Oreochromis niloticus: one gene and its partners. The protein of the gene in region 2 interacts with the protein of the main gene of each other region in a pairwise test. Links are inferred from orthologs where the notes say so. Each region holds a gene or a part of one and is shown on either strand. Other genes may lie near its edges. The genes, in order: ppp2r3b, dusp12 and ccnh.

What was found.
Region 1: the proteins of dusp12 (region 2) and ppp2r3b interact in binary tests that used the Homo sapiens proteins (3 or more experiments, as listed by UniProt). The two-hybrid records come from large-scale screens. The link is inferred for Oreochromis niloticus from reciprocal best matches to the Homo sapiens genes DUSP12 and PPP2R3B.
Region 3: the proteins of dusp12 (region 2) and ccnh interact in binary tests that used the Homo sapiens proteins (3 or more experiments, as listed by UniProt). The two-hybrid records come from large-scale screens. The link is inferred for Oreochromis niloticus from reciprocal best matches to the Homo sapiens genes DUSP12 and CCNH.

Annotation. Positions count from the first base shown.
Region 1 is NC_031987.2:23,788,102-23,796,247, forward strand, and holds the start of ppp2r3b (serine/threonine-protein phosphatase 2A regulatory subunit B'' subunit beta), read left to right. Parts: upstream 1-5,044; 5' UTR 5,045-5,232; intron 5,233-5,651; 5' UTR 5,652-5,691; coding exon 5,692-6,045; intron 6,046-8,146. UniProt on the Homo sapiens protein: The B regulatory subunit might modulate substrate selectivity and catalytic activity, and might also direct the localization of the catalytic enzyme to a particular subcellular compartment.
Region 2 is NC_031982.2:2,057,414-2,065,247, reverse strand, and holds the start of dusp12 (dual specificity protein phosphatase 12), read left to right. Parts: upstream 1-4,691; 5' UTR 4,692-4,893; intron 4,894-5,590; 5' UTR 5,591-5,592; coding exon 5,593-5,855; intron 5,856-5,995; coding exon 5,996-6,109; intron 6,110-6,256; coding exon 6,257-6,375; intron 6,376-6,499; coding exon 6,500-6,587; intron 6,588-7,649; coding exon 7,650-7,741; intron 7,742-7,834. UniProt on the Homo sapiens protein: Dual specificity phosphatase; can dephosphorylate both phosphotyrosine and phosphoserine or phosphothreonine residues. Can dephosphorylate glucokinase (in vitro).
Region 3 is NC_031977.2:16,108,207-16,115,375, forward strand, and holds the start of ccnh (cyclin-H), read left to right. Parts: upstream 1-3,996; 5' UTR 3,997-4,164; intron 4,165-4,251; 5' UTR 4,252-4,286; coding exon 4,287-4,403; intron 4,404-4,504; coding exon 4,505-4,627; intron 4,628-4,711; coding exon 4,712-4,785; intron 4,786-5,922; coding exon 5,923-6,136; intron 6,137-6,244; coding exon 6,245-6,408; intron 6,409-6,754; coding exon 6,755-6,825; intron 6,826-7,075; coding exon 7,076-7,169. UniProt on the Homo sapiens protein: Regulates CDK7, the catalytic subunit of the CDK-activating kinase (CAK) enzymatic complex. CAK activates the cyclin-associated kinases CDK1, CDK2, CDK4 and CDK6 by threonine phosphorylation.

The DNA of each region.
Region 1 (8,146 bases), on a different chromosome or scaffold from region 2:
ACTGATGTACGGTGCATTCAGCAGAATAACTGGCATGAACTCACCTCTGATTCATGCTGTCTGTGTGCCTCATATAAGATCATTACACTTGAGTGAATTGTTTGTGTATGTATCTGTGTCTGCTTAGAAAGCAAGTGAGAGGAGTACAGCCCTGACACATCCCAAGTGAAGTGCACCCTCTACAGGCAACTGTTACACATTTTACATCCTTGTATAGCATCTGCAGAACTAGACTGAAGAAAATGTGCAGATTTTGCAAAGTATTTCACTGCAAGCTCACCTGAGAAACAACATACAGTATACCGAGTTGCATTTACACACTATATATGACTCCATTAAATATATATATCTATATATCTGTCGACTCTCTTTGGTATGCTCAAAACCAGGTTTTCCTTCTTAAGCTTTCCAACTCCATACATGCACCTCTTTCATTAATATGTGATGAGAGAGAAAATCTCCAAAGACCCCAATAGGCAGATGCATTGTTTCTCTTTTAAAGTCATCTCAGATGGAAGGAGTGAACTTCAGAGCCTCAGTGAAGTGTCTAATGAAAGAAGTCTCCTCCTCCGCGGCTCCATTTCGCACAGCATATTAGGAATCTAAATGTTGACTGAAGACAGTTTGATTCTGCGTCTGTGATTTTCTTAAGGAATAAAAACAGCGTTGCGTGTTTACAGTGTAGCCATGAAAGAGCTACGAGAAGGCTCATCACTACCCGATGCCATTTTGGGAGGCGGAACGTGAGGTTCATACCACAGTTCATTTGAAAGCCATATCAAACAGAGGATTGTTTAAGACCAAGATCAAAGCCATTTCTGCTCAAAAAATATCACTAGACTATAGAAACATTCTTGTAAAATTCCTGCTTTATGCTAACAATTATTTCAGCAGTGTCTGGAAATAAAACAAACACAATGGGCAGAGGCAAATAAAAATGACATTTCAGGACTGTAGTGGTAACTCGTGTACCTTGTTTTGTATTACATGCCACAGGAATCTGAGAGTTTAAATCACCCTGTCAGCCAGAGTTTCATCACTTGCTGTGCAACAACAACAGCAAAAGAATAAAAATCCTTAAAAATAATCTAATAAAGGCTAGTGAGGATGGGAGCAACTTTCTGATTATATTAATGCACTTCAGTATAGAAACTTTGTGCTTAAAATATTTCCAGCTAAGTGGGTTCCTGAGTCATTCCTGCATTTAAACAGTTGCAACAACAGGCACTGTGTTTAATTAATGATTAACCTCCTAAGACCCGAACTCTTTCATGGCATGCATTTTCAGTTTCTCTTTGCTATTTGGGCTGATTGGGACCTGATAAATGTAAAAACAAACAATTACCTGTTTTTTTTGTTGTTGTTGTTGTTGTTTTACCTGATTTTTGTTTCTGAGAAAAATTTGATCCACATATGAGGGCATTCATTTTAAATTTCGATAGAACAGTGGCAGCATAACATCCTCGTAAGTGGATATCAGGCCCTTGTAGAGCAAAATTTAGAATTGTGGTCTAGACAGCCCAAAATGTGATGTCCACATATGTGGACGCCAGGTTCTAGGAGGTTAAACATGTCAATACTACTCCTACACTAAATGATTTTCATTCATTATAGTCCACCTTATAATTTATATATACAATTATTTGGACTTTTAATAAGACCTCTAACATTAAAAAATGTAAATCTACTCTTCTACAGTGTTAAAAGTCCCATTGACAGGCATAGAGGCTGAAATGTGTTTTCCCAGTGCTAACACTGGCTCTTGGTTCAGTAGGATTGTATTTTTTTAACTAAAGCAAGTACACTCATGTTTTATACGGAGCACAGATAAAAGAACGAGATGCCTGGAGAAGATAAAACCATATATGTTGCTCTAAATGTGGAGTTATTGAAAAGAAGCAGCGTCTGTATCAGCATTACTTTTTACGCATCTACTGCTTACTTTTACTCCTGGTACTCCAAGCTTAAAATCATTTCTTATGCAGTTTGCTGTTTTCTGCAGCACACATTTGACAATGTATGTTGAAGCAAAGTCTGCTCGTGTGTCGCTGAGGAGGAGAACAGTGCCACGATGAGTTATTTTAATACTTAAAACAACATACGCATAAATTGCAGCTGAACAAATAGTTTAACAACATAATGAAATACAATTTTTAAGAAAGCACTTTCTACTAGTTTCTGTTGTGTTTGCAAAATGATTGGGGAATAATATCACCGTAACTTAACAGTAACTGCATATTATTTACATTTCACAATCAAAATCTTTTCAACTCGCTGTTGTCATGTACTTATTTAGTTGTTATATATTCAAAGTCATAAAACAGAAAAGAAAATATTAAATTGCTATTCCACATATCTTCTGGGAAATCAGTTAAAACTATTTGGGTCATTTTGTCAAATTTCAAGCAGATGGAGAAGTCATTTGTTTGTCTGATTGGGCCTTGTTCTTATCTCTGCCTTGTACAAAAATGTACCAAATGAGCTGGTTTAAAACAAATGTGCAACAGAGGTTAAGACCACTTAGAAGCAATTGAGACAAAGGTGGCAACGTTGCTCACAAATTTGTCACTGTCTTGACTTTGCGTTGTAAACGTCCCTACTGAATGAAAGCCAAAGTCAAAGGTGAAGATGTTTGGATTGGTATCAGATCCTGTAAGATGTTCAAGAACAACTAGCTTGAGAGAACTATCAGATTTTCTTTGAGTGTAAGTAAAAGCACTGTAGACCATCCGTCTACAGTATGTTTTAAAGCCATTTTTACACTTTTACACAACAAAAGTTATCCGTACATTACTTATTAAAGACTGCTCTCCTTCTATGTAAGTAATTTATGTGAAACTTCAGCCACAAAAAAATCTCACATCGCAATCTGGATCTTTTAAATGAAGAGAAAAGAGTAGCTAAACTTACCAATGTCAAACAAACTTAAACCTTAAAATAACCATGGCCCATTGCCTTTTCTAGCATGTGAGTACGGTATGGTCCAAATATTTCTCTACAGCACATAACCACAACACAACACTTTTAACTTTATTCACTCCCCTTATTAGAGCAGATTGCTTATCGTCTACTTCACAGAGCGCCCATATAGCATAGCTGACAGCAGTAAGGGCGAGCTGCACACATAAACCCCTCACTAACACTTTCCTACGCTAACCAGCTGTCCCCCTGTGGTTTCAGACTCGGCCAAACCTTTGAAATGTCCTTCAAGGCGTGAAAAAACAACATGCACACTGCTTTGGGTAAAATCCTATTTGTACACTATAATTACACTTTGAAAAGTTGCAAAGTCTAAAGTTTCAAGACCTTCACTTTTTCTCTTCTCATTTCGGATATTGATTGGGCTCTAAAACACATGTAAGGCTCGCTGCTCTACAGAACAAAGAGGTTTCTCATTACGTGCCGCGCCTCAGACAACTTTGGATGTTTCAGATTTGATTTACTCGCGTTATCAAGGGAAGCAATCAGAGGAATTCAGTCGATATTTTTCACAACTGCGGAACCGCCGTTAATGCCCTCTTAACAACAAAGCTACAGGCACTTTGAATGTTCTTATTAACGAGATAGAGGTTTGGAGTGATAGGTGTCCCCAATGTCTTTCATGCCAAAAAGAAAGAGAAACATCAGTAAAGCCCGTCAGCATACCACTGCGGTATGGGCTCCATCAAAAAGTAACTTTTTAAAAATTCAAAATCACCTTCGAAAATACATCCGTCATGTCAGAAGTCATAAAGCTCCAGTAAAGTAAATTAAAGTCATTAGAAACAAATAATTACACACAGTGCAAATGCCAAAAAACTGGTGTTTAGAAAAAATGTTTACAGGCATAATCAGTCAATGCCAAAAGAGAAAGATTAGTCCAGACAAAATTTGTTCTGTTGGCTGCATAATAAACATAATTACCCAGCAACATTGTATTCACAGAAACAAACAATAACCAACATGTTAGTTTTGGCTGCAGTGCTTGTGTAAATGAGAAGAATTCCACGTGAAATTGGTGTGCCATTAGTACCGACCCTGTGATCATGAAATCAGTTTTACTAATGTAGACAAGACTCAAGTACAAAAACACCAAACCATTAAATCAGTGGTTGAAGCCTGGGTCTTAGGTCTGTTATAAAGCATGCCTTTCTGATGAAAAAACATAATAATACTCCACTGTGTTTTCTTTTATTGCAGGTGTCATATATGGTATCAATAATCTAAAATGACCTTTTCCTGTGTTGCTTGTTTTCTATGCTTGGGGATGCAATGAGGGAGCCACGATGTCTGGGGCCACTCCCCCGCACATTAATCAATAAGTATGTCCAGCTCCATATACAGCAGGTGCTCAGTCCAGCTGCTTTGAGAAGACAGAGTGGAATTGGACACATATGCATCATTGTTATTCATGCACAGAGTCAGAATCAGGTTTGTACGATGCTGAACTGGATAGACAGGACTAGTTTCATGGAAATGAGTAGTGCACTGATGAACAGCTCTCGCCGGACATCATACAAACCGACCATACATTATCAAAGGGAATGCAGATGTACAGGTTAAATGAGAAAAAGACTGAATGAACGCCTGTATTAAATTAGTGTCTCAAGATGCACACGGCAATAATAGCAACCTCATACAATTTACACTAATCCACAATATATCGTAAACTTACTATATATTATATTACATGTTTATATATTTTTTACAACTATAATACTTAACAGTCATAAAAATGAATTTATTAAACTTAGGAGATGAAATCATTGGACAACAGGTACGTTATTAAGTCCAAGTCGACGGGCTACGTTTAAAACTGTATAATGTTTATACTTACTGAGACAGACTTGGCAGTAAGGCTTTTGTAGTTACTTATAACTGAGAATACTGCAGTGTTACAATAGGCTTATGTTATTAAGCTAACGGTGGAAAAAGAACCATTAAATGAGAAATACGTCCGCACTTTTAATTTTAACAGGTGTGCGTCAGCACAAGCGCTTACTGATCCCGCGGGAGAAACCGCTGCCACAGCGTGGACGATCTCGCGATAACGCTGTGTGGTTACCAGGGGAACGAGAGCCTGAAAAGTTGTTCCTGTCTGCTGTGTTTTCTCCCAGAGAAATGAATTTCACCGGATTTTCGGTGCTGCTTTTATGTTTCACTGTTAGCCGAACGTACGCTGAGCATCATCGCTTATGAAGGAAATGTAGAGTCATATTAACGTGTTTTGCTTTGCTGTCCATTCACGGCAAGGTGGGTGCATTTATTGGCTAGTTGGCGCTAGCTGCTAAAGCTATAGTAGCTAAACCTGTTGTAGTCCCCTATCGTCCATAGTAGTATAGGTTTAATTGACGGAAGCTTTTGAAATGTTTACTTTATGCAGCCGTTTTTGCCATGTGGTGGATTAAAATTGGCTTAAAATATTATTGAAGTAATATGGGTTCCGCACTTTCGCCTATGGGCTAAAGCATTGACGCTTCGCGCTAAAATTCAATAACGTGAGTGAGTGTTGGTTTGTACTCAAAGCAAGGGCTACTGCTCGTGTCATTTTTTTTTTTTGCTCAGTGACCTACTCAGCGCCGCTGCTCTGACAGTTTCGTGTCATCTATGGACCTTGTGTGGGAGGCAGATATTGGTGGTGTGAGGTTAAAGATGCTTTTATTTCTACGCAGGTACGGTCATCAGAGGAAGCTTTAGACATCATTGCCCAAAATGCCGTCACCACAAGTTCTCCAGCCGGTTCTTAAAATGAAAGTAGACGAGCTTTTTCTCAACTGGTTGAGTGATCCTACAACTCAGTCAATACTCAAAGATTATCTTGATCTAATCAAAAGTGGACAGCCTGTTGAATTGAGTATTGGGGACGCTCAAGATAAAAGGTCGTTAAGCTTCAATGAAAACAACAATGTGGCATCACAGAAGAACCTGGCAGAGAAGAAGCCTGCTCCCTTAAGTACACCTTTCAGCACCCCATCTACCAGTACCCTGCCTTCCCGAAGTAGCAGTAACACCAGAATGACTGGACCAAGTGGAAGAGTACTACGGAGATCTCTCAGCACAAAGAAGGTAAACTGTGTATTCAAACAATAACTCCAATAAATATTTTCCATGTTTTTTGATAAGCATGTAACTCATTGTTGAAAAATGTAGCCAAAAAGTCTTAAGGTGCCGCAGGGAAAAAATCCACACACATACTAAGATCCACTAAACAAGGAGTTCTGCTGTTAGTCAGCTGTTAGTCAGTTTTTGTTTTTTTAATCCTAAAGGTGTTACACTACAGAGCTTTTGATTTACTACTATGAAAAATAAGGTGTGCCACCCTGTTCTTTTTCTTCCTGAAACCACCTGAGGTACTTGAGGGTGTGTTGGACAATGATTTGAATATTTTAAACTCTTTGCATACCGATAGTAAACATGTACTTAAAAGTCGAAAGGGGAACCTCTCTTTGCTTTCTGGTAAGCCAACTATAAAAGCAGTCCTGGCTTGGCATTTTTTTACACAACAGCTTATCAGTCTGGTAAGTTTATCTTTATAGTTTTAGTGCACTTATTTGTATGTTTAACTGGCAGTTTATCTGCATATCTTTTTGGTATTGTGCAATCCATACAGTAACCTGAAATTAAATCCATATTTGCACATTTAAACCAGGGTTTTCCTGGCACAGAATGGGCCTTTTGGTGGGGCAGCAGCAAAGCGAGTATGATGTGGAACAGGAAATGCAATCACTATGTGGTACCTTATTTGATAGAAAACTATGGGTTTTCTTGTTATTTCTGACCATTTTAGGATCAAATAATGTTTATCGGCCTCATTAAACTCTAATTAATGAAACTAGCTGAAATCATAAACTGGTGGTTTTCCAGTCAGTAATGACCATAACAACTGCTATGTTAATGTGAGTTAAATGAATGACGGACAAATTTAATGTACTTGCAAAAAGGACATGTCTGAGCTTGAAATTCTGGGTCAGTGTTAAAAATGACAATTTAGCCAAAAGTGGTAGAGTTGTAGGGCCTTTTTTGTTGTTGTTGTTATTGTTTAGTTTTCCTTTTTGGAACAAGGAAACAAGGAGAAAAAAAAGAAACTTCCCTCTTCATCACACTATATTAAACAAGATCTAAAACAACTTTTAACCAGGGCAAAACTGATGCAACACACTAGATAAACATTGGCTTCTGCCACTGATAATTTACTTTAGCATCAAAATATCTCATGTGAAAAAATCGTAAACATTAATGTTATCCTCCTTCTAGTTACATTTTTGCAATCTAGAAAAAATTCAGTTTTAGCCAAAAGTTGAGCTTTGTCATACAAAGCATACATGTCCAGTTTAATGGTACATCTAAATGGACATAGTGTGCATTTGGCTTATATTTGCTTAGCATCTGTCTTTGCAAAGATTTTTTGTAATTCTTTTATTAAATTCTGTATTAAACTGATTTAAATGTCAAGTTTGCCTCACTTGTACGTTCTGAGATCTCTGTTTGCTCTGACTGGCCACAAGAGGATGCTGAGTGGCCTACAGCATCAAAGACATTCAGAGGCTGTCCACTCTGCCCTGTCACAGTGGAGCCTTCTTGTCTGTAGGCGTATGTAGTGATTATTAGTCAAATACTTTCCAAATGTTCAGGCCTCACCCACGAATTAGTGTGGTATGAGAAGTGGGAGTGTCTGAACCTAGCCTGTCCCTGGCGCTCTGGTTACATCTTTCAGTCTGTGCGCTGTACTTCTTACTGTGCTGGGGCCAAGGTGTTTTACTTTGGATTGTTTAGATTATGGCCTAAAAAGAATCTACACAAAATAGTTAGCTGCCCGTAAATATTTTGTATATCTGCTCAAGGACTCATAATCTGTTAGGATGAGAAGTGCAACGTGAAAGCCTAGAGTAGTGATAGATTATGGACATTAGTGCATGTGATGACAGTGAGACAGCCTGAGACAGCTGGAGGCATACGCTACTCAGGACCCCACCTTCTACATGTTAGTGACATGCTAAAGAGGTGCATGAGGAGATCTTCAAGTACACATGTAAAACAACAGAGCAGGAGAATGAGATCTAATGTTTGTTTCAACTTACATGTTTATATATTAGAAACATGACTAGCAGTACCAGTAGTAGCAGTAGAAGTAGTATGTTATAAAATAAATAATTATGCTTATCTATGG
Region 2 (7,834 bases):
CAATGTCAATGAGTCACTCCACCAGACCAAACACACTATTAACACGCCCACACTGCTCACAGTCACCTGCTGGCCTTTTCACTGAATATATGTGTGTATGTGTTCTGCCGTCTTCATATGGTTCATTTTGAACAGTCAATTATGTGTGATGGGGAGCCCTCTAATAAGCCCTCAAGGATGGTTGTGGTTACTTCAGGGTATTGTGATTGGCGAGATGGCCAGATTAAAGCAGCTCGTAAAACGTTATTAGCACCCCACATTGTGACCATGTACAGACTGTGGGATGCATGTTGGCGGGCAGTTCAGAGCAACACACACACACTTGTTAGGTGTAAAGAAACAAGAGTCCAGACAGACATCATGAAACATGTATTTAAAGAGCATCTGGCAGTAGAAATAACCGATTCATTCATCCAGCACATGTAATTGTCACTTATACAATATACAAGTCAGACAGTTCACTTGAGAAATGTGCCTGTTGCTGTCTGTAGCTGCCATGGGACACAACATCGTGCCTGTCCATTCACATTCACTTTGTTCAGTTTTACTGTCAGTGGTAATGACTCTGGTGGGACCGTGGGCTGCTGACCAGTGTCTGCTCACATTACCTCACCCTCCTGGTATCATCCTCTCACTGTCTTCACTTGTTCCTACTTGTTATTTCATTTTTATAGTCAGAGCCAATTACATGCTTAAGTTTATTTAGTAGTGGGAAAGGAATGTGTTCCTTTGTTTACTTAGTGTGATTAGCTCATTCCAACTTTTAACTTCAGCTTTATTAGGAACACAATGTGAAAAGCTTGTATGACAGTATCTTATGTTTTCAGATAAATTTGAGTTTTTACATTCCACAGTTATTGATCTGTTAAGCACTTTCTAAAAAAACAAGTTAATGACTTTTGGTTTGTCTAAATCAAAAGACTTCTTAATACTTAATGCTTTTCCCAGTAACACATCATTCTCGGAAAAGGAGAGCCTTTAATGACTAGTCACAAAGGGGAGTGGGTGTTATGGTTTTGAGGTTTAGTTAGTGTTTTGGTCTATAAAATTTCTATTTATTTTTTCTAGTTTTTGTGATTCCTTATTTCTCAGCTTTTGCGCTTTCCTAAAGTCTCCGGTGGTTCCATGTCTGTGACTCTGTCTGTCCATGTGCTGTTCTTATTACTGATTAGTCATTTCCTGTTTTATTTTGTTATCCAGTTTTCCTTTTGATAAAACTTGTTTGTTTTGTTCTCAGTTGCTGTCATATGCCTTATTATTTCCCCTTAGGGAAATCAAGCTTATTTAATTCCCTGAAGAAGGGATTATATGCCCTGTCTTTCAAACCACTGATTTATGGCCCCCTGTCAAAGGATTTATGACTTAGGAAGTTATAAATGCTTATGACAGTTATAATTTTTATGAATATTGTAAAATTATGATATGTCACAACTCGGTAATAATCAATACTCAAATGCCCCAAAAATGTGGACTAGGATGATGAATAGGATGTTTGAGATAGAACTGGACTATAGAATCATTCATAATGGTCTGCTGTTGTCATTTTAAGCCAAAAAGTTTACTTTTCAGACTAAAAAAGCGTTTGTAACAGTGATGATGGAGGGAGATGGAGGCTGCATGCCCCTGCATGACCCTTCTTGATTGCAAACCGAGAGATTGACAGATAAGGTCTAGGAGTAGTCCCCGATGTTTGCAGACAACATTGTGATCTATAGTGAGATTAGAGAAGAGAGATATGGAGAGAAGAGGAATGAAAGTCTGTAGAAGCAAGACACAATACAGTGGTCCCTCGTTTATCACTGTAGTTACGTTCCAAAAATAACCCGCGATAGGTGAAATCCGCGAAGTCGCTAACTTTAATTTTTACAATTATTATAGATGTTTTATGCCTGTAAAACCCCTCACTACACACTTTGTACACTTTTCTCCAACAGGCATGAACACTTTCACACTTTTCTATCTTGTTTAAACACTCTAAAAGTTCAAACCTTCGTAGAAAAATAAGTCCAGTAGGCTATTATAGAATAAAACCAAAGGCACCCACAGGTGCCTTTGATGGTGCAAAACGTTTCATCGACATTTTTGTGTTTGCTGGAGAAAACTTACAAACAAACAGTACAGCACTTCAGAGTCACACTGCTAGCGATAGAAGATTTTGATAAATTTGACAAGCTGAACGCATTCTGTACTGTACAGGAGACACGGCACGGGATTGATTGACAATGGTCTACAGCCAATCAGAACGCAGAACACAATGCGCTGTTAAAAAAAATAAATAAATGAAAAACACGGATGCAAAATTGCACAAAAAATAATCTGCGAAACTGCGAAAGGTGCACCGCGTTATAGCGAGGGATCACTGTAGATATATGTGAATAAGCAGGAGACAGGTGTAACAGTAAAGCTGCAAGGAGCAGACATATAGGAGACAAATGAGTTTACATACCTGGGGAGTAACCCATTCAATACAATAGACAGTCAAGAAGAGAGTGCAGGGCAGTGGAGTGGGTGGAGACAAGTGTCAAGGGTGACTTGTGACAGCAGCAACATTAAAAGGGAAGATTTACAACATGGTAGTGAGCAGGGCTTGACTGGGACAAAAAATCGGCCCGGGCATTTTGACTAGAGACCAGCCCACCAGGTATTATAGGAAAAGCCACAAAGCCTTTGAATGAAAACAAACGCTGTCAGTGACAGTGCCAGTGATGTACACTGTCTTGTTGGTATATATGTATGATTTCTATACATTTTACATCAGATAAAAACTTTACTTGTAAGATCCAGATAATTATTTATTAAAAGCTAGACATTTTAAATGGAATAAGAAAGAAAAGTATTTCTTCGTGCCCCCCTTTCCCTGTTAATGCCCTACCTGGCCCCCTGGCAAAACTTTGCTAGACCCGCCCCTGCACAGTTACCAGCTGTCAGCTACGTAGAAAAGGATCCTGGTGTTTGTCTCTCAGAAACACTTCATAACTTCCCTTCAACTCATTCATGTCACCTAAAAGGTAAACCTGTTTCTCCATCACCTGTTCAGCTCTGATGATTCAGTAAGGACATCTCCTGGTTTCATCTTCATGTTTCCCTCTCACCAGGATATCCAAACCGACATCAAGTAGCGGCAGGAGAGGGAGGGGGAGAGAATAAGAGAAGAAGAGGCAGCAGCGCAGCGTAAAGACACAGAATAACTCCAACTTTGTGTCTTTTTTCATTCTAGCTGAAGTACGGGACAAATCGCTTCCTTTTCAGCTCAAAACGAAACGCGGCCGGCCCGGCGGCCGCCACGGGTCTCTCCCCCTCCTTCCTCCCCTTTCCCTCATCCACCTGCTGGCCTCTGTGGAGGTTCTGCCATAGCCACCACCAAGCAGTTATTTTTACACATCTGCCAGCATCTTGTGATTCTGACAAATCGTCTGGAACCAAAACTGGAGCTGGTAGCTGAAGGTTTTCACCGGGAGTGAGCAAGATGGACAGGATCAGAAATGAGTACATCAAGGGGACAGCCCAGGTTGAGTGGTTGTGATTTCACGTGTTTTCCTATCATTTTATTTGAATGTTGTCACATATTATGCACAACATAGGCTTGTAATGTATTTTTAATTTCCCTGCTTTTAGCACAGAAAGTGCCTTCTGTGGAAGACAATGAGGACCGTGAAACAGAAATTAATCGGTCTGACATGAAGTGGAAAAAGGTTTGAGCAGAAATGAAAAATCACAGTTTGAAATGTTGCTTTTCTGTCTGTTATTGAACTCAGCAGCTGTTCTGACATCTGCAAGTCATTCAAGTAACTGGAATACAGAGCAGACAGGACACAAAATATGGTTCAAAATATGGGGGAGGGGGGGAGAGAGTTCCTAAGTGACAGAAAATATTTGCCTAGATCAAATCCCATATGTAAATACTTCAAAGTGCTTTTCCCCTTTTTTACTTAATCTGCCCAGACCCTGTGTCCTCACATAACAATTTGGCTTTTCTGCACTTTACAAAGTGATGTAAAACACAGAATGAAGTGTAAAGTGATGTTGACTTTATCTTTGTTGTAAATTAAATGCATTGTTCCCATTTGAAAAGTTATTAAAATGATGTAAGAACTATCAAACAAAGTAAGACTTCCTCTTTCAATTTAGATGATGAGGAAATGATTAAGATGTAAACATAAGGGGGTAAGGCTAAATAAGTATATACTTCTGCCTACTCCTTTTCAAACAACTGCATGGAATGATATTATGAAATGTTGGTGAATGTATATGTTTGAAATAAAAATGAACTGAACTGAAAATTAAATGTAGTTAACATACTTTTCACGTTCAGCTAATTACAAATAGCTAAGAGAAATTAAAAATTCACCCTAACCAAGAGCCAAGAGGGTCTCCAGATTATTTATTGGAATTTTTGTATTGCTCTCCGAGCGTTGTCTAGTTTATCTTCAATTAATACTTTTCTGGGGTATGATCGATAGGGGTGGGTGGGAAAAACAAGTAAAAAAAAAACCTTTATCAGTAAAATGACCCAAATTTGGTATTCGCAATTGTGTTCCTCTTGCTTTGTTTAACGTCAGAGATACTGGCTGTACATAGAGCGTATATGTAAATACGTTTTGACTATTTAATTTTCTGCCATTCTTATTATAGTTATTGAAATTATTTTGAAAGTATCGAGGTCGGAACTAACGACGCGTGTTTGTGTTGACATCTACGTTTCCGACCGAGCATTTTAAAACAGGAACCAAATGCTGATACAGAGACTACACGTTAACTTTTTGGGATTTTATTTGAGTCTGTAACGTATTTCACTGCACTCACTTTCTCTTAAATCAGTAGCTGCGTTACACACTAAAAGGCGAAGCAGGTGAGAATCAGCAAAAAGGCGAAAACGACTGCGAGAGATCGCGAGTGAGTGAACGATGTGAGGGTGTGTGGGTTGTCAGAATGAGTAGATGTTAAAGTGAAAGTTCAGATTGATATTTTGGCAACTGAACTGAACCGAACACGATCACTACTTGCGACACAGAAAACAAAAGTAGTTACTTGAAAATAATACTAATGACGGTTTCTTTGAACTAAAGCATCCTATTTTTAATCTTTTGCTGTGTCAGAGACAATATATAGAGAAACATGGCACTGAATGGTAATCAGTTGATGAATAACAGCAACGATGGTGGCAGCAGTGACTTCCAAGAGGAAAAGCTTTTAATAAAAACCGTATTTTAAGCCAAAGACAGCAAACTGTTTGATGATTCGACCCTTTTTATGTCCGGGTGACCTTTGAAATTAAAATTCAGACAGCGGTCCAAATTTGCTTCTAAGATTAAAACATAATTGTATTCTATTCCTATACTTGTATGTATGTATGTATGTATGTATGTATGTATAAAAAGTATTTTTTGTTTTTGATGCTTATTGATATTTTTATGTTCACATTTTAATCTTCTAATTTTAAATTGGTATCTAACAAATGAAATGCCAAAATGATCCAAAGGGGGAAAAAATATAAAGGTTTGATTTGAGAAATTGGGCAGTGATCAGAATGTTTAAAGCTGTAAATGTGGTCTACAAAAATGGTTATAGACATGGTTATATGTCTCTGCAGTCATGATTCTGGTGGACCCTGGGCTGTACATCGGCACTGCAGCTAACCTCAACGACCACCAGGAACTGGTCAGTGCGAACATCAGTCACATCCTGTCTGTAGATTCTGTAGACCCCAGCCCACTGTTTCCTGATGATAGAGCCTTTGTTAGGAAGTGGATTGATGTCTTAGATGAAGAGACTTCTGACCTCCTCAGTTACATGGACACCAGTTTCGGGTTCATTAAAGAGGCTGTGGATGGTGGCCGGGCTGCACTGGTTCACTGGTAAGGCAATTTTATATATCAAATTTCAATATTGTGATTAAAAAATGCTCCTTTTATTATACTCAAGCTTGTGAAAACATGAAATGTGAAATAATCGTGTTAAGTGGCAAACTGCAAACATGGTTTTGTGTGTGTTTTAGTCAGGCTGGTCGGAGTCGCAGTGCCACCATTGTTACTGCTTATCTAATGAAGAGATACAAACTGGGATTCACTGAGGCTTATCACAGACTAAAGAGCCTCAAACCAGATGTACAGTAAGTGTGTGTTTCACTTTAAAGTACTATTATTTGTATTTAATGTTTATCTTCTGCAGAGATTATATTTCTTACTCCACACATAAAATTTATATATATATTTTTTTAATTCTCCAAAGCACACTTGCTGAAATGTATGTCTTTTAGGGTCAACAGTGGTTTTGAGGAGCAGTTGTGTCTGTACGAAGCAATGCAGTGTGAGGTGGATACCTCCAGTCCTCTGTACAAACAATACAGACTAACCAAGATCACTGAAAAATACCCTGGTAACCACACACACACGTTCTGAGATTATAGTTAAACATTTGAGCTCTTCTTGTTATTTGTGTTGTGCTTTCTTGTTCTTAAATTATATGTTTCCTTTCTGTATGTGTGCATGTGTTTGAGCAGAGTTACAGAGGGTGCCTAGGGAGGTGTTTGCTGTTGACCCTGCCCACTCCAGCTCCTCTGAAGCATCCTATCGATGCAGGAAGTGCAGGTGAGAGATGGAACCTGAATGCTTCAAATTACTTGTCTTTAATAGGAAGAAGCTGATGGCACACAAAAAAAACAAAACACTTTGTTAAGTTGATGATTTTACTTCTTAGCTCAACAGTCCACAGTTTAATTTATGACTCACAGCCGATCATAGCAAACTACTTAGAGTGGTGTGAAAAAGTGTTTGCCACCTTCCTGATTTCCTTTTTTTTTTGGTTTTGTTTGTCACACTTAAATGTTTAAAGTAAGCGCAAAATGCATTTTCTAAATGAAGGTGTTTATTTTTAAGGGGAAAACTAATCCAAACGTACGGGGCCCTGTGTGAAAAAGTGACTCTCAGTCTGGAAAATTCCTACACAACTCTGTAAAAGGCGAAAACACGGAATAGGGGTTAAACTTCCCAGGAGTAGCTGGCCGACCAAAATTACCCCAAGAGCACAGCAATGGCCTATTCAAGAGATCACAAAAGACCCCAGAGGAACATTCACAGAACTGCAGGCCACATGTACCTCAGTTAAGGTCAGTGTTCATGACTCCACCATAAGTAAGAGACTGGGCAAAAATGGCCTGCGTGGCAGAGTCAAAAACCACTGCTGAGCAAAAGGAACATAAATGCTCATTTCAGTTTTGCCAGAAAACATCTTGAAGATGCCCAAGACTTTTGGGAAAATACTCTGTGGACTGACGAGACAAAACCCTTGAGTGTGGCTGAATTGCAACAATTCCACATAGATGAGTGGGCCAAAATTCTTCCACGTCGCTGTAAGAGACTCATTGCCAGTTGTCGCAAACGCTTGATTGCAGTTGTTGCTAAGGGTGGCCCAACCAGTTATTAGGGTTAGGGGGCAATCACTTTTCACACCAATGTATCCTGGTATTGTTAAAGTTTGTCTTGAAGTTTGTACATCTTGGATAGGATATGTAATTTCCTAATGTAATCTAAGGAATCCAAGGAACTGAGTGACTCTGCTTCTGAATGGAGAAAAGGGGGTATTCAGCCTGGTGTGTGTGCCAGTTTGAGCTACAGCTTCTGCAGGCAGTAACCTCCACTTTCTCCTTGCAGTCGAACTCTATTTCGTGGCTCCAGTATTCTCAGTCATTTAGTAGGAGAAGGAGCTTCGGCCTTTAGTCACAAAAAGGCCAGTAACCTTACTGGTAAGAACACATACTGTGAACATTCACTCAGTAAATTATTGACAATGTCATTTTTAATTAGTATCTGGGTATTTTTTTTTAACATTTCATTGA
Region 3 (7,169 bases), on a different chromosome or scaffold from region 2:
CAAAGCCTAAGATGCTCAGAATGATGGAGCACAATGTGTTTTTCATTCCCTGCTGATTTAAACACTGGCAGACATTTAAAAATGAGCACATGTGATTTTGTTTTCTAAATAAAGCCCTTATATCCAAACTCACTGAAGAAACAAAGAAAAGAAAAAACTGAAACATTTTCACAGTGTTTGCATTTGTCTTCAAGGTAAAGCTAAAATGGGTCATTTAATTTGCTCCAATTCTCAAAGGTGTGACTATGGAGGAAGCGGCTGCATAGGAAAGCCAAGGACAGTTGGATTTACCGTAAAGAGCATGCTAGTTGTGCTCTCCCTAGAGCTATGTCTTTGATTGAATACTGAAATGAGTTGAAATGTCACAAATCTCTACCAGTATGCTCGAAATGAAAATTGGCCTTGGGGGGGTTTTAAGCTTCCCATTAAGAGCGTGCTTAACATTCTGTTAAATGTGACTGGAGTGCATCAAAAATACAGCATAATTACGTGTCTCTGTGCACTCAAGCAAAATGTCCCTAAAAATTCCTCAATGCTGAGCAACTGCCTCTGCTAAAATGCAAGGGACCTTAAAATCGGGCCTCAACGGGAATGATGTGAGAGTGAAGCCAAAGGGCAGTAGGGTTCAAATTAAACCTGCCAATAGGAGGCCAAATTGTCATGTAACTGGCAAAAGAAAAAAAAAAAAGGAAAAGAAAAAGTGGGTGAAACCTGTTTTCCTCCAGAATTTCCAGGATTTAAATTTAAATACAAAAATAAATGATGTCAGGTTGAAACTGGAGCACCAAAACGCTTGTGTTTTAAATGTTAAACTGTCAACAGATTCCTTCGTAGCCTACATCACAACACGTCTGGTAACTTTTAAGTCAAATTAGAGTATATGATGCTTTTTACAGTGCCTTGTTTCGTTTAAAAAATTAATTAATTCTGCCTCTATATCAGCATCCCCTTCCCAGTCTGGTAATGCCCGTCTGTCTCTGAAGCAACTGATTTGATACAACCGCACTCCTTCCTATTTACCCCTGATCTCTCAGGTAGTATTTTCAGGAAACAGGAAAATGACTATCGCGCCTGCTTAGTATTCACGTCACGCAAAGTGGGTCTGTGTTCCTCATTTAGTTCTGTACAGTACAGCTGGGGAGCTGTCCAGCACGCAGCGGCAGTATGCAAATGAGGCTGGATTTGAATGGAGATGGAGGTAGACACAAAGCTCAATTAGAGACAGAGAAGAGAAAGAGGCAGTGGGGGAGCGCTGAGTGTCTGAAGGGGAGGAGGGGGGGGGACCTTTGACTGCTTAATGCCAACCTGAGAAAACCAGTGTACGGACACATTCAAACACAAAGGGACACACAGATGTGAATGCGCTTAAATAGCCAGACAGATTTCTAAATTCTTCAGACAGGCAGCCGATCTCTGAGGGGCTCAGACAGCTCAGCTCTGTGATGCCTTTCGCTCACACCAATCACACAGAGAATATCCCACATCATCCATATCACACATTTCAAAACAAAAAGAGAGCGAGAGAGAGGGGGGGGGAAGCACAGGTGCACTCCTCGCTTTTGTTTAAGCTCAAAGAGAGAGTCTCACATGTGGTTAAGAAAAAAAGAAGAAAAAGAAAAGAAAACTGAGGCGGTGGTGGGGGGAGTGGCCGCCATTTTGTTCCTGGATGCCCAGCAGCGTTGCATATCACCTGACCCAATGCCTGCATGACTGTCCTTGGAGGAGTTTCTGACATCAGCACTGCCACTTATGGTTGCCATAGCAACCTGGGTACCAATTTGGATGGGGTGGGGTGGGGGTGTCGTTGGATGCTGCAGGATGGAGAGTAGAAAATTAATATGCACATGCGGCGAGTCGGAATCGGGATTTAATTGTTGGCGTGTGAAGCTGAAATGGATTGAAAGCTGCAGCAAACACGAGGAATATCAGGGCAAGGGCGGGCAAAAAAATGGATTAGGCAGGCTCATTCTGGTAAATCATCTGCATCATTGTCAAGGTTATATCCAGATTATTTCCTCTCGTGCTAGAAAGTAACTTCATAGATGAGATGAGGAAGGTGGGCCACGGGGTGGGGATTATCCTCCTCCAGCTTCTCCTCGCCTCCCTCCTCAGCATTATCACCGCCATGAATAGTTTACAAAGCTGCGTACAGGCGAGGTGATGGTTCACACAGCATCGGCGGCTGAATTTTAGCTGACTTTGTGTCCGTGAATTGCAATTATTTCAGCACGCCTGAAAAGGTTTTCATATGCGGCTGAAATATAACAGGCAGGAGTGTGGGCTCGACTCTGGGAGGATGAGTCTAACTCGATCAGGGAGGCTCAAAGATCATTCAGTTGATCTGGCAATGCCACAAAATCACCCAAGTTTGATTTCCCATAAAACACTGCCTGTCAGATTGCATAGGAGCAACCTTTACTCACAGGGACACACACACACACACACACACCTGACCTAAAACTGTGCCGTCTCTCCCTTCAAATCACCCATCACATGAACATACACACTCACGGGGAGGCAGATTTCACTTGCTGCCTCACCATCAAGCCAGCATTTCTTTTGTAAATAGTGAAGGCACAGGATGAAGTGATGAAGTCTCAAAACAGAAAAAAAAAACCCCTACACATACATATATAAATGACAAATTAAACACAAGAAATGTAAAAACAACAACAACAACAACAACAACAACAAACAAACAAAAACCTTCAAGATAGCCCAACACAACACAGAAAGACAAAAATAAGTCATCACACTGCAGAATTATGCGAAATAGCAGAGGGAGAGGTGTTAGGCTGACAACACAAGCGTGCATGCACAGTCAGCCCCGCGCACGCACACATATGCGCACATACAGTAAACGTTGCAATGGTCTCATCAATAATGCATCGGCACTTCATGTTTATGCAATTTACAGGGCAAGACCGAGCGATGGCTAGTGTAGAAGCCCGGCGTAGCCTTGTGCACAAGCCTATCACAGACAGAGCTCAGACGCGAGCGTTCACACGGAAAGCGCCTGTAGAGAAAAAGGTTAAGATTATATAAAATAGTCCCGAGTGCGCACATACCTGTTAAAGCGTCATTTCTTTGAGCCTGGTTTTATGCAGGCTCGAAGGGCTTCATGATAACGCCGCACTAAGGAAATAAAACTGTAGCTGTGGTGATATGCAAATTAACGGCTCCCGCTGAATGCAAGGGCATTTATTATTCATAAATTACTCATGTTTATGCAAATGAGGGCGTGCGGAAACACGGGTGGGGGGTTGAGTGGCTCTGTCTAAACATACCGTGTGATTTCGTTTCTGTTGCGCATTTCTGCCCCCCACCCCCCACTAAAAGATTATCCAAATCCTTGATTTTAACTAACATATAGTCACAAACCAGCTTTAGCAGTGTGAACTTTATGTAGTCCTGGCTCATTTAAAGAAGAAGGGGGAAAGGGGGGGGGAGGGGGGCTGCTGTTAATGCGGGCCTTTATTCAAGGTTTACATGCTTATTTATTCTGGGTTATTTAGCGTGTGCTAACCCGAGTGTAGAGGACGCATAAGGTCAGACACCTCTTTCAATGCTACAGACTGTCAAAAGTGGCAGCTATATCACACGTGACCACGCAAAGGTGGGATATCACCTGAAGAAGTCTCTTGGGTGAGAGGTGAAACGTCTTCACGGCGCTTCAGTCGTTTTCTTTCCAACCTCCTGTTTTTTGGGGGGCGTTTTCAGTGTTTGCTTATCTGTGTGTGCGTCTGTGTGTTTACTTGTGTCAAAATTGGGGACTTATATCAGCTGACACACCCGTTCATTGGGGACGCTTTTGCCTCTGGGGACCAAAACTACCCCAATTAGATATAAATTGAAGCCATTCAGCGCATTTCAAGCAGCATTTCCGTCTAAAACTACCAAAAACGTCGCTAAATACGACTTATTTCAGATGGTGTGTGTGTGTGTATATGTGTATGTGTGTTTGTGTGCGTCATCAATAACCGACGAGGTCGACGTAATCCAATGGCGACGCGCGTGGGATTTGTTATTGCTGGAGTCCGCTTGATAAGACGTTAGTTTTGAACTGTCTTGAGGCATTAAACGCGCTCATTTGTACATAGAAAAATTATTTTCGCACAGCATCGGTGTCGCGGATGGATTGACCTTTAAATACACTCAACAACTGTAAGTTATTTTATTTTATTTCAGATGTATCAAAGTTTGGACGGCAGGCTAACGTTGACGTTTTTTTCGGTGTGTCCCCGTTATCAGGCAGGTTTGTTGCGGTGTTCCCCACAGCAGGCGACATGTTTCACAACAGCTCCCAGAAGAAATACTGGATTTTTAAAAGTGAAGATGAAATCGAGCATATGAGGTGCAAGGCCAATCAGAAATTCCGCAACAAGGCGCTAGAAAGTAGGAAGGTAAGCTGCGATTAAACATGTCATTAAGCACATTTGAACCAAAGATGTAGTCCATGAACGTCTGTGTGACAGTTACCTTCACTCCCTCCTCTTTGAACAAGCCCGGGGGGAGTGAGTCCATGTTCTTGCAGCGTCATGAGGAAGACGTCCTATTTCGGCACTATGAGAGGAGGCTGCTGGAATTCTGCAATGCTTTTAAGCCCACAATGCCAAAGTCTGTGGTGGTATGTATGTATGTGGTTTCTTTGAACAGAGCCATGTGACCTCGCGGACATCCGTGAACCACGTGTCTTTCTCTCGTTTTGCAGGGTACAGCCGTCATGTACTTCAGGAGATTCTACCTGAGCAACTCCGTCATGGAGTACCACCCCAGGATTATCATGTAAGTGCTGCTGGTCGGTGAAAGGAAAACCAACAGTATTGTTGGGGGTGGGCAAAAAACGCGGGGTCCACTGAGGGATACAGACAAGTGACACATTAAAGGAAATGTATGTTAAGGAAAGTTTCTGATAGGTTTGGCAGTTTCCCTCTAAGAATTTGTTGACATATGTGAGTCCTTATATTGAGGTTTAGTTTTTTTTTCTTTCTCTAATAAATTCAAACAGTGAGGTGAAAAAAAGTAGTTGACAGTAGTAAAAGAGACTCAACAGTGCTGAGCAGGCCAATTACAACAGTTGCATGCTGAGTCAATACGATGTGTAGCTTTGCAGATGTGGACATCAGGTTACTGCATAGGTTACGTTGTAGGGTTTTAGAGGGGTTTGTGGCTACGAGGTGACATCCTTACAGTGAAGATTGTACACAGAAGCATACATCTCTTGGTGTGTTTTAGAAATTCACAGTTTGTTAAACTCACAGGCAAACTTTGAACTGTTTTATTAAAATGATCAAAGTGATGTGACGGTTGTAGTGTAACTCAGTTTGCGTTGTGGTGGTCTCTTAATGTGACTTTAGATGCGTTGAAAGCCTCAATTCAAGAGTCAAAGTTGATCTTCAGCGGAGAGAGATGATGTGGGCAGATGTCAGAATGAGAAACGCCTAAGAGTATGTGGCGGCAAAGCATCTCAGGTGTTCAGTCTGTGCTCAGTGTTAACGGGGTGACCCACGTGATCATCACCCACTGTCACATTATTAAGTCACAGAGACTAAGTGCAGACAGATTCTCTGAACACTGTGGTTCTTTTTCTTTGACATCACAATTTTACCCGAACTCATAATGAATTCAATTGTTGTTGTTTTTTTGGGTGTTTTTTTTTCTTCGATCTTAACCGAAGTTGTTCTCAGTGATCTCCTACTTCCTGCTATGACACTTTCCTCCTAATGGGAATGTTTCCTTCCAAGATAAAAGTGCAGCATCCATAGGGCATAGGGGGAGGGTCACTGTATGATTTGCTGTGTATAAAAATGCTTTATTTAACTAACAGTAAAACCGCTTAACCTTCATGCCGTGTTGAATAATGAGTTAATTGTAGCATTCAGGGTTTTTTTCAGCGTTGTTCTAAGCAACCTGTTGTTTCAGGCTGACGTGTACATACCTGGCCTGCAAAGTAGATGAATTCAATGTGTCCAGCACCCAGTTTGTGGGCAATCTTGTACAGGAGACCCCAGCAGGACAAGAAAGGATTCTGGAGCAGATCCTGGAGTATGAGCTGCTGCTAATCCAGCAGCTCAACTTTCATTTGGTGGTCCACAACCCCTACAGACCCATGGAGGGTCTGCTCATCGACCTCAAGGTGGGTGTGGTCCTATGACTGCTTCACACTATAAACACGAAGACGGAAACTACTGCTGCCCTAATCTCGCTTACTTAAGTTTTCATTCGAACTTGTCGCTTTTTCCAGACCCGGTACCCTACACTGGAAAGCCCAGAGTCACTGAGGAAGACTGCTGATGACTTTCTGACACAGGCAGCCATGACAGATGCAGGACTACTTTTTTCTCCCTCCCAGATCGCTCTGACAGCTATTCTGAACAGCGCCTCGAGAGCCGGTCTTAACATGGAGAGGTAGTACACAAAGTTCTTAAATCAGTAACCAGGTGACAGTGGTCAGTTTGAATTTCAGACACGGATTTGAAATATTATGTCTGTTAATTATAAATCTAATCTTCCTCGCTGTTTAAAAAAAGAAAAGAAAAAAAAGTTAGCTAATGTTTAGAATTTAAAATTTCATCATAAAGTCCAGAGTGACGACTGGCTGGCTTATTTAATTTATATGTACAGTAAATACATTACAAAAGCAAAGATTGAATCAGGGAAAAAAAACGTAAAAAATGTAATTTCTCTGAAGAAGTTTGTCTCTGTGTATGTTAATCAAAACCAATCCCTTCTATGTATTATTTCTCATGCCCAGTTACCTGAACGAGTGCTTAGGACTGAAAGAGGACAAGGAGACGCTGTCAAGGATGTACGACTCCATGAGACGTGAGTAAACCGCACCTTCAAGTTGACACCACAAGATGGTGATATTGAGCTGTTTTAGCTTCTCCAGAGCAAGTTTTTTTTTTTCTTGCGGTTTTGTCCGATTGACTGCAAGATACAGAAACTATTACTATTATAAGGAAGAGCTGAATACATTTTAAATGCCAATCCAACTCACGTGCCTTAAAGCTACAAAACAGGGCATTGGCCTTGGTGAAGGCACTTTCAAACTTGTTGCTTTCTGTTTATTCAGGAATGAAAACCCTCCTGAAGAAATATGAGCCTCCTAAACTAGAGGAGGTGAATATTTCCAAACAGAGGCTGGAGAGGATTCATGCCGAATTTGC